Canis lupus familiaris: one gene and its partner. Each later gene encodes a partner of the first gene's protein in a complex. Links are inferred from orthologs where the notes say so. Each region holds a gene or a part of one and is shown on either strand. Other genes may lie near its edges.

What was found.
Region 2: POLR2E (region 1) and ERCC2 share a complex: the UniProt entries of both Homo sapiens proteins name them as parts of the TBP-based Pol II pre-initiation complex. The link is inferred for Canis lupus familiaris from reciprocal best matches to the Homo sapiens genes POLR2E and ERCC2.

The regions. Positions count from the first base shown.
Region 1 is NC_049241.1:58,128,298-58,132,632, reverse strand, and holds the start of POLR2E (DNA-directed RNA polymerases I, II, and III subunit RPABC1), read right to left. Parts: upstream 2,804-4,335; 5' UTR 2,727-2,803; coding exon 2,670-2,726; intron 2,447-2,669; coding exon 2,272-2,446; intron 1,026-2,271; coding exon 910-1,025; intron 498-909; coding exon 417-497; intron 1-416. UniProt on the Homo sapiens protein: DNA-dependent RNA polymerase catalyzes the transcription of DNA into RNA using the four ribonucleoside triphosphates as substrates.
Region 2 is NC_049222.1:110,896,030-110,899,592, reverse strand, and holds part of ERCC2 (general transcription and DNA repair factor IIH helicase subunit XPD), read right to left. Parts: intron 1,947-3,563; coding exon 1,877-1,946; intron 1,793-1,876; coding exon 1,723-1,792; intron 1,624-1,722; coding exon 1,522-1,623; intron 399-1,521; coding exon 335-398; intron 1-334. UniProt on the Homo sapiens protein: ATP-dependent 5'-3' DNA helicase. Component of the general transcription and DNA repair factor IIH (TFIIH) core complex, not absolutely essential for minimal transcription in vitro.

The sequences.
Region 1 (4,335 bases):
AACTGAGTCTGTGGGTGTGACAGGCCCCACGGCGCCCCCACACGGGAAAGGGGAGCAGAGCGCCACAGGCTGTTTCCTTGGAGTCAACCATCCACCCAAGGGTCCCAGCTGCCACCCCACCCTGCTCCTGACTCCACGCCTGGGGGGAAGGAGCTATGGCCTGCAGGCGCCTGGGGGGGTATAACCTGGAGAGTGCAGGGGCCCCTGGACAGACCCCACCCCCTGCCCCCCAGCTGCCTGACTGCACACCTGGCAAGTGCCCAGGGCCTCACTGAGACTCCGGCTCTGCTTCCTCCTCCCCACAAAGTGGGAGCAGCGGCACCTGGTGCGTCCCCAGGCCCTCCCTGTGCTCGGGCAGGTGCCACCTCACCAGCCGTCCAGCCTCCCCTCCCGCAGACCCCCACTAAGGCCCTCACCTCGTGCTCCGTGATGTTGATGAGTAGCTCCTGCTGCAGAAACTGCTCCAGGATGTACTTGGGGGCCATGTCAACCAGGGACTGAAAGAGAGGCTGACCCTCACGCACAGCCAAGGCCCAAGACGCCGCCACCCCACCTCTCCCAGGGGCTGAGGGCAGGTGGGAGCCAAAGGGGGTTCCCACGTGTCAGGTCAGTAAGGCTCCTCTGGGAGGAAGAGACCACCCGACACAAACTGTGACACCTAACAAAATGCTCCTGCAGTTGTCCCTGTGCTGGTGTGACGTAGAGAACCCTGCAGGGACGAGCGCACAGAGCTGGCCCTCCGTCCCAAACAGCAGCCCCTCCTCGGACCTGTTAACCACAGGAATGCTGGCACCCATGCAGGGCACCTCCCTGCTCTGGCTTCTGCCCACACGGGAGAGCCGCTCCTTCTCAGATCCCCAGATCCTGGGGCCCATGAGGACGTGCGGCCAACACGAGCAGCGTGCCCACCTGCTTGGCGGAGGGAGTCATGCCCTGCTGTACCACAATGAGGGCCCGGGTGATGTTCTCCTCCTGCATCCGCTGGCAATACACCTTGATGGTCTTGATTCCCACTTTAGGCTCCTCTGGGGACAGAACACACGAGGTCTACACTGCAAGAGTCCCTCCTGCCCCAAGGGCCCTGCTCACTCACCTGCTCGTTCACTTCCACCCTGCTAGGCGCGCGGGCTCCAGCTTGACCTTGCCAAGGTGTAGCAGTGCCTCTCTGGACCAGCTCCCTCTTTCTAGGGCCCCAGGGAACCCACCAGGGTGCCAGTCCTCCCCCCCAGCCCCCACGGAGCTGATGGGTGCCCTGCATCTACCCACTTGGTGGATCCCTCCCTGGAAGCTGAATCTGGGGACCTACGTGGTGCAATGTCTGGAATCCCCAGATGAAGCAGCTGACCTGAAGGACCAAACCCCCTCCCTGCACAGCCACGGTGGGAACCCTCACGCTCACCACAGTACAGGGGCCAAGACCTGCGGGACCCTCTGAGCCTGGTGGAAGGTGAGCAACTGGGTGCCTGCTGCCAGGACGGGTGCGTGTGGTGCACCACATCTGCCCCATCACAGCACTCCCCTCGGACCCTTGCTCACCTGACGGGCAGCGTCAGGGACTGAGCTGTTTCCCACGGAATCCCCGTGTTACAATCCTAACCCCCGAGACCTCGGGTGCAACCGTACTTGGAACTGAGGTCTTTAAAGAGGAGATTCCACCAGGTTGTCAGGATGGACCTCAGTCAGACACAACAGCACAGACACACAGAGGCACGACCTCGGGAACTCATGGAGAAGACGGCCACCGGCACGCCAGGGAGAGGCCTCAGGGGGACCCAGCCCCGTGCACACCCTGGTCTCAGACGTCCTGCCTGCAGCCCCGGAAGAGGTCAGGCTGCTGCTGAAGCCGCCCGGTCTGCGGCGCCCAGTCGCGGCGGTCCAGGTGGACCAGCACGGCCGCTCAGTCCCATTCTGTGGCCCACTGGAGCACACGGGCGCCCCGGGCCCACTCCAGGGAGGGCCCTGCCACAGGCCGACCCACACACGGGGACGCTGTTTGCACGAGCACCAGGAGGGTCCCTCCTGCAAAGGTTTCCGACGCCCTTGCTTCTGGGCAGGGGGCTGGGCCCCCCGGGAGGCCTGCGACAATCCGGCTGCACTGAACGAACAGTCAGCGGGGAACAGAACCCAGGGCTCCCATCAGCACCCCGTGGCACCGTGCGCAGCAGGCTGGGCACTCGGGAGGGCGGGTGTAGACACCGTCCCTGGATGGCTGCACGAGGGCTGCGGACTCCTAGGGGTCACGCAGCCACCCAGGACCCACGCGACCCTCACCTGGAAAGAAGACAAACATCTGGTCGGTGGGGTCGTCGTTGTGGGCCACCAGCACCGTGAGGTCCGTGCGCCGGGGCCGCCCCTCGCTCGGCTTGTCCCCAAACTGGGCCTTGAACTCTTCCAGCGTCTGGTCCAGCTCATCCTGCGTCACCAGGTAGCCGCGGTCGTGGCACAGCTGCAGGGAGCACCAGCCGGGTGACCCCCGGGCTCAGAGGGCGGGGCGGGAGGGGCGCGGCCGGATGACGTCACCGCGGAGAAGGACGGACAGGGCCGCGGCCCGGCGCCTCCGAGCGCGTGGGGACCGCACAGGAAGGGGCCGCAGAGGCCGGGACGCACCCGCCGAGCGCGCCCGGAAGCTCCGAGCTGCGCCCGCCGCCGCCCTGACCGCGCGGGCTCACCTGCATGATGGTCTTGCGGATCTTCCACAGCCGGTACGTCTCCTCCTCGTCGTCCATGGCGGCCGCCGCTCGCAACCCGCGCGCCTGAGCCCGCGGCAGGGGCCCGCGCTGACTGCGCCTGCGCCGAGCCCTGCCAAGCCCCGCGCGGGGCTGCCCACAGCGAACGCCGGACTCCAGAGACCTTCGCGGGCGGCAGCGCCGAGGGCAGCCCGGGCCTTCTGCGAGCGGCGGTGGGCGGAGCCAGAGCCGAGCGAACGGGACCGCCCACTCTCGCCTCGGCAGTTGTCGCGGGGTTTCGGCCGCGGGGCCTGTCGGGAGTTGTGGTTTCCGCCCGATGCCCGTGTGGGTGGGGAGTTTGGAATCCGGAAGGGCGGAGGCGAGGTGTGGGCGGGGAAACTGAGGCCAGGGTGGGGTCAGCGGTCAGCTCGCCTCCCCGGGGCGCAGGGCATGTTGTCAGGCCCCCCACCAGGTACGCATCCCGCTGCTGGGCGTCGCCGCCGCCTTACTGCGCAGCAGCCTCGGGTCGCCCGGGTGGCTCCGTGGCTGAGCGTCCGCTCGGGGTGTGATCCCCGCATCGTGGGCTCGAGTCCCGCATCGGGTCCCGCAGGAGCCTGCCTCTCCCCCAGCGGTTCTCAGGAGTAAATAGTCTTAAAAAAAAAAAAAAAAAAAAGAAAGGCAGCCCGGGTGGCTCAGCGGTTTAGCACCGCCTGCAGCCCAGGGCGTGACCCTGGAGACCTGGAGTCCCACGTCGGGCTCCCTGCGTGGAGCCTGCTTCTCCCTCTGCCTGTGTCTCTGCCTCTCTCTCTCTCTCTTTCTCTCTCTGTCTCTCTGTCTCTGTCTCTCGAGAATTAAAAAAAAAAGCCTAAGCAACGGAGCCCCCCAGGCACCCCCTCCGCCAGCCCGTTTTTTCTTATCTGCCGTCTACACCCGTTTCTCCCTAGTCTGTCCGCCCTGGGCCGGCAGCTCCGCTCCTCCGTCCTGCCCCTTCTCCACATCCTGTCCATCCTGTCCGACTGCAAACCCTCCACCTTCAGAACTGCAGGCGCCGACGTGAGCCCCCATCTGTGGCCCTCTCCCTCCTCTCCCCCTCCCCCATCTCTCAGCTGAAATGCAGCAACAGCAAAGGAAAACCCCGGCTTTTCAAGGCAATCAACGAGGCCTCCCAGGTGTGCCCCAGGCTTGCCCCACGACAGCCTCTGACCTCCCCTCCCCCCTCCCCCGGGGCCTCCTGCAGCCAACGCAGCAGGCAAAGTGCAGCCCCAGGGCCTTTGCACACATTGCACCCTCTGGTGGATACGCCCTTCTTCTGACATTCCTACAGCTGCTCCCTCTCCTTTGACCTCTTCCTGCCAGCCCTCTCGCTCCCTGCCTTCCCTGAGTCCCTTGATTGTTTTGTTTTTTTTTAAGATTTTATTTATTTATTCTGAGAGACACAGAGAGAGAGAGAGGCAGAGACACAGGCAGAGGGAGAAGCAGGCTCCACGCAGGGAGCCCGATGTGGGACTCGATCCCGGGTCTCCAGAATCACACCCTGGGCCGAAGGCAGGTGCTCAACCACTGAGTCACCTGGGCGTCCCGAGTCCCCCTGTTTGAAACCGAAAACCTCCCATCTACTTCTTCCATCACCCTGTCACCTTCTAATGTCATTGTTTGTTGTGTTCATGGT
Region 2 (3,563 bases), on another chromosome or scaffold:
ACCCCCCGCCCCTGAAGTTAGGCGTGGCCATGTGACTCGACCTAGCCAATGAAATGCATGAAGTGGCTATGTGTCACTTCCAGGTAAACCCTCGTGAGGCCCAGCACCATTACCAGGATCCTTGCCGTCACAATTTAGGGGACGTGGTAAGGGTTCCTGGAGTGAGAAACCACGGGGCAGGCCCCCACCAGTCCACAGTGTCACATACTGTGAGCAAAAAGTAACCTCTGTGTCAAGCCACTGTAATTTGGGGATGTTTGTTACTGCAGCATGACTTAGCCCACTGATACACCTCCCCTCTCAGGAGCCACACAAACCACCATGAGCAGCATACCAATATCTTCCCGGGTCTCAAATTTAGAGCTAATGGCCACCTGGTCATTGCCACGACCAATGATCTGCAGAGAGCAACAGACGTCACAATAAGCAAACGATAAGCAAACAGCACCATTCTGATGCGTTAGCTGCCTGCCGGTGCCAGGCTGAGCTTTTTATAGACACAATGTCATTGAGTGAACCCTCAGCTCCCCTGTTATCTGCACTGCACGGATGGATGACCTCAGGCCCAGATGTGAGCTGCCTGCCTGCCCAAGGTCACGTGGCAAATCAAGGGCAGAGCCGACACTGAACCCAAGTCTGTCTGTGTTGCTAACCAGCAAATATGTGTTACTGGCCTCAGCCTCCCAGCCACACAGTTCCAGAAGAAAGGGTTCCACCACAACCTCACCAACCGCCAGCCACAGGTGCACCTCCCCTTCCCCCCCTCCCCCCCCCCAGCAACTCCACAAAACCATGATGCAGAATGTGGCCGTCACCAGTCCACAACCCCTGAAGGGCAATTCCAAGACCCAAGGAACTCCAGATATTTAAGTTTGGTGCAAACTCCTATAGTGGCAAAATCTGCCCTGACCTGAGTCTATTCAGAGTCCTGACTTACCTCCCTTAGTTTGACGTTTCAAAACATGTTCCTGCTGAAATAAAACTTTCACTGGAGGGAGCTGCCCAGACCCCACTGGGGATGTCACATACTGTACAGCATGTGGTTTGTCTTTAAAATCTGGAAAATTCTCAATTCTAAAATACATCTGGCCCAAGGGATTCAGATAAGGAATTAAGGGCTCATGTTACGATGCCTGTTTTACAAAGGAGGCTGAGGCAGAGAAGGGTCATCATCAAGGTCATGACCAGATGATGAACCAGGCAAAGCCCACATTAACCAAGATGCTGACTGAGGGCCGACTGGTGCCAGGCTCTGGGCCACATAAGCATCTTGTATCCACTATCTCACTATCACCTCAACCGCCCTGGGAGGTCAGGGAGGATGCATCCCCATGTTACAGGTTAGAAACTGAGGCTTGGGGAGTCAGACCCACAGGAAGCAGTAGCATCAAGCCCAGATCTATCTGAATCAAAGCCTATGCCCTCAGGCTAATACTCTCCTGCCTGAGCAGCCTGAGAGGGAACAGGAGGACGAGAGCTGACACATCTCCCCTGGCCCAGCATCCACCCTCTCCCACGCACCATAGGGCAGAGGCAGACCCGGGCCAGCGTCATGGTGAAGGTTGCCATGGTGACGGGGTGGAAGTCCAGAATCTTGGGGTAGATGTCCAGTGGGGACAGCGTCTATAGCAGGGACAGCAGGAGGGATCTTAGCAGGACCGGGCAGAAACCAGGATCCCCATAGTAGAGGACTGGGAGTTTAGGGCAGATAAGGGTCCTCACCCCAGATGTGATGATGACAGACTGGAAACGCTCAAACACGGGTTTGATGGCCAGTGAAGCATCCATGCAGCTATAGGAAGCAGAGGAGGGTGGTGAGGACCATGCTTGGGCCCCCGTGGTCTGTTGACAGCCTCACACTGCGGTTGGGTCTCACCTGAAGTGCAGGATGGGGTTGGCAATGGTGGGGGTCCTGTCATCAAAGGGCTCGATGATGATGGTGAAACCTACAACCGGGTGAGATTCCAGGTCACCGGTCATAGCCAAGCCCACTTGTCTATTACCTCCTCCCCCCATTAGTGATTGGGGCCAACCACCAGTTGCTCAAGCTTAAAACCCAGTCTTTGGGAGTCCAAAGTACACCCCAACCTGCCCGCTTCTCCCAGGGCTGACATCCACTCAGGGAGCATCATGAGCAGAGAGCACTAAAGGTTTACTCCTCAGACACTCTCAAGGCTCTAAGAACCCACACCACCACTCAAGCCAAAGCCTGGAGCCTTCCATGATCATGGTATCTAAGCCATGGGTCAAGCTCTGCCTCCAAAGCCTATCTGCAATCTGACCACTGCCCCCACTCCCTCCCCCACTATCACCTCTAGCCTGGACCATTGCAGTCACCTCACTGGGCATCCAGCTCTTGCTGCCCCTGCTCCCCTCCCAGAAGCAGAGGGACCCTGTAAAATTCTGATTCAGGTCACATCCCTGCCCTGCTCAGAAGCCCTGCACAGCTCCCCATACTCCTTCCGGAGTCCAAAATTATCTGCGAGAACCCGCCACGCTGACCCATTTTCTCCTAGCTCACAGGCCTCCTAAGTTTCAAAAACCACCAGGCTCACTCCACCCCAGGGCCTTTGTACTTGCTGGCCTCACAGCCTGAAAAGCTTCCCAAGGCAGCTGGTTCCATTTGGTCATTTGGAACTCAGCTCAAATGTCAGCACCTCAGGGCTTCCCTGGCCATCCTGGCCACTGCAGGCATGCTCCAACATGGCAACATTTTTCTTGTGAAAAAGTATCCCTTTCTGGAATTATCTTTTTTATTTGAGTCTTTGTTACTTGTCTTCTCCTCTACAGTGTAACTGCCAGGAGATCAGGAATGGGGTCCCTCTTGGTTTCTGCCACTTCCTCAGTGCTGGGCAGGACCCATTTGTTGAAAAAAAAAAAAACCAAAAACACAGGTGGGGATGCCTGGGTGGCTCAGCGGTTGAGCATCTGCCTTCGGCTCAGGTCTTGATCCTGGGGTCTCAGGATCCAGTCCCACACTGGGCTCCTTACAGGGAGCCTGCTTCTCTCCCTGCCGCTCTCTCTCATGAATAAATACAAATAAAATTTTTCTTAAAAATAGGCAAATGAGGGATCCCTGGGTGGCGCAGCGGTTTGGCGCCTGCCTTTGGCCCAGGGCGCGATCCTGGAGACCCGGGATCGAATCCCACGTCAGGCTCCCGGTGCATGGAGCCTGCTTCTCCCTCTGCCTGTGTCTCTGCCTCTCTCTCTCTCACTGTGTGCCTATCATGAATAAATAAAAATTTAAAAAAAAAATAGGCAAATGAATGAATTCACATATTCAATTTTACTTAATTAAAAAAAAAAAAAAAGTTGGGATGCTTGAGTGGCTCAGTGACTGAGCGTCGGCCCTTGGCTCAGGGTGTGATCCTGGAGTTCCGGGATCGAGTCCCACATCGGGCTCCTCACAGGGAGCCTGCTTCTCCCTCTGCCTGTGTCTCTGCCTCTCTCTGTCTCTCATGAATAAATAAATAAAATCTTAAAAAAAAAAATCCTCTGTGCCTGGCCCTGTACTGGGGACACAGTGGGAACCATGACATCTCTGGCCCTGCCCTCTCAGGGCT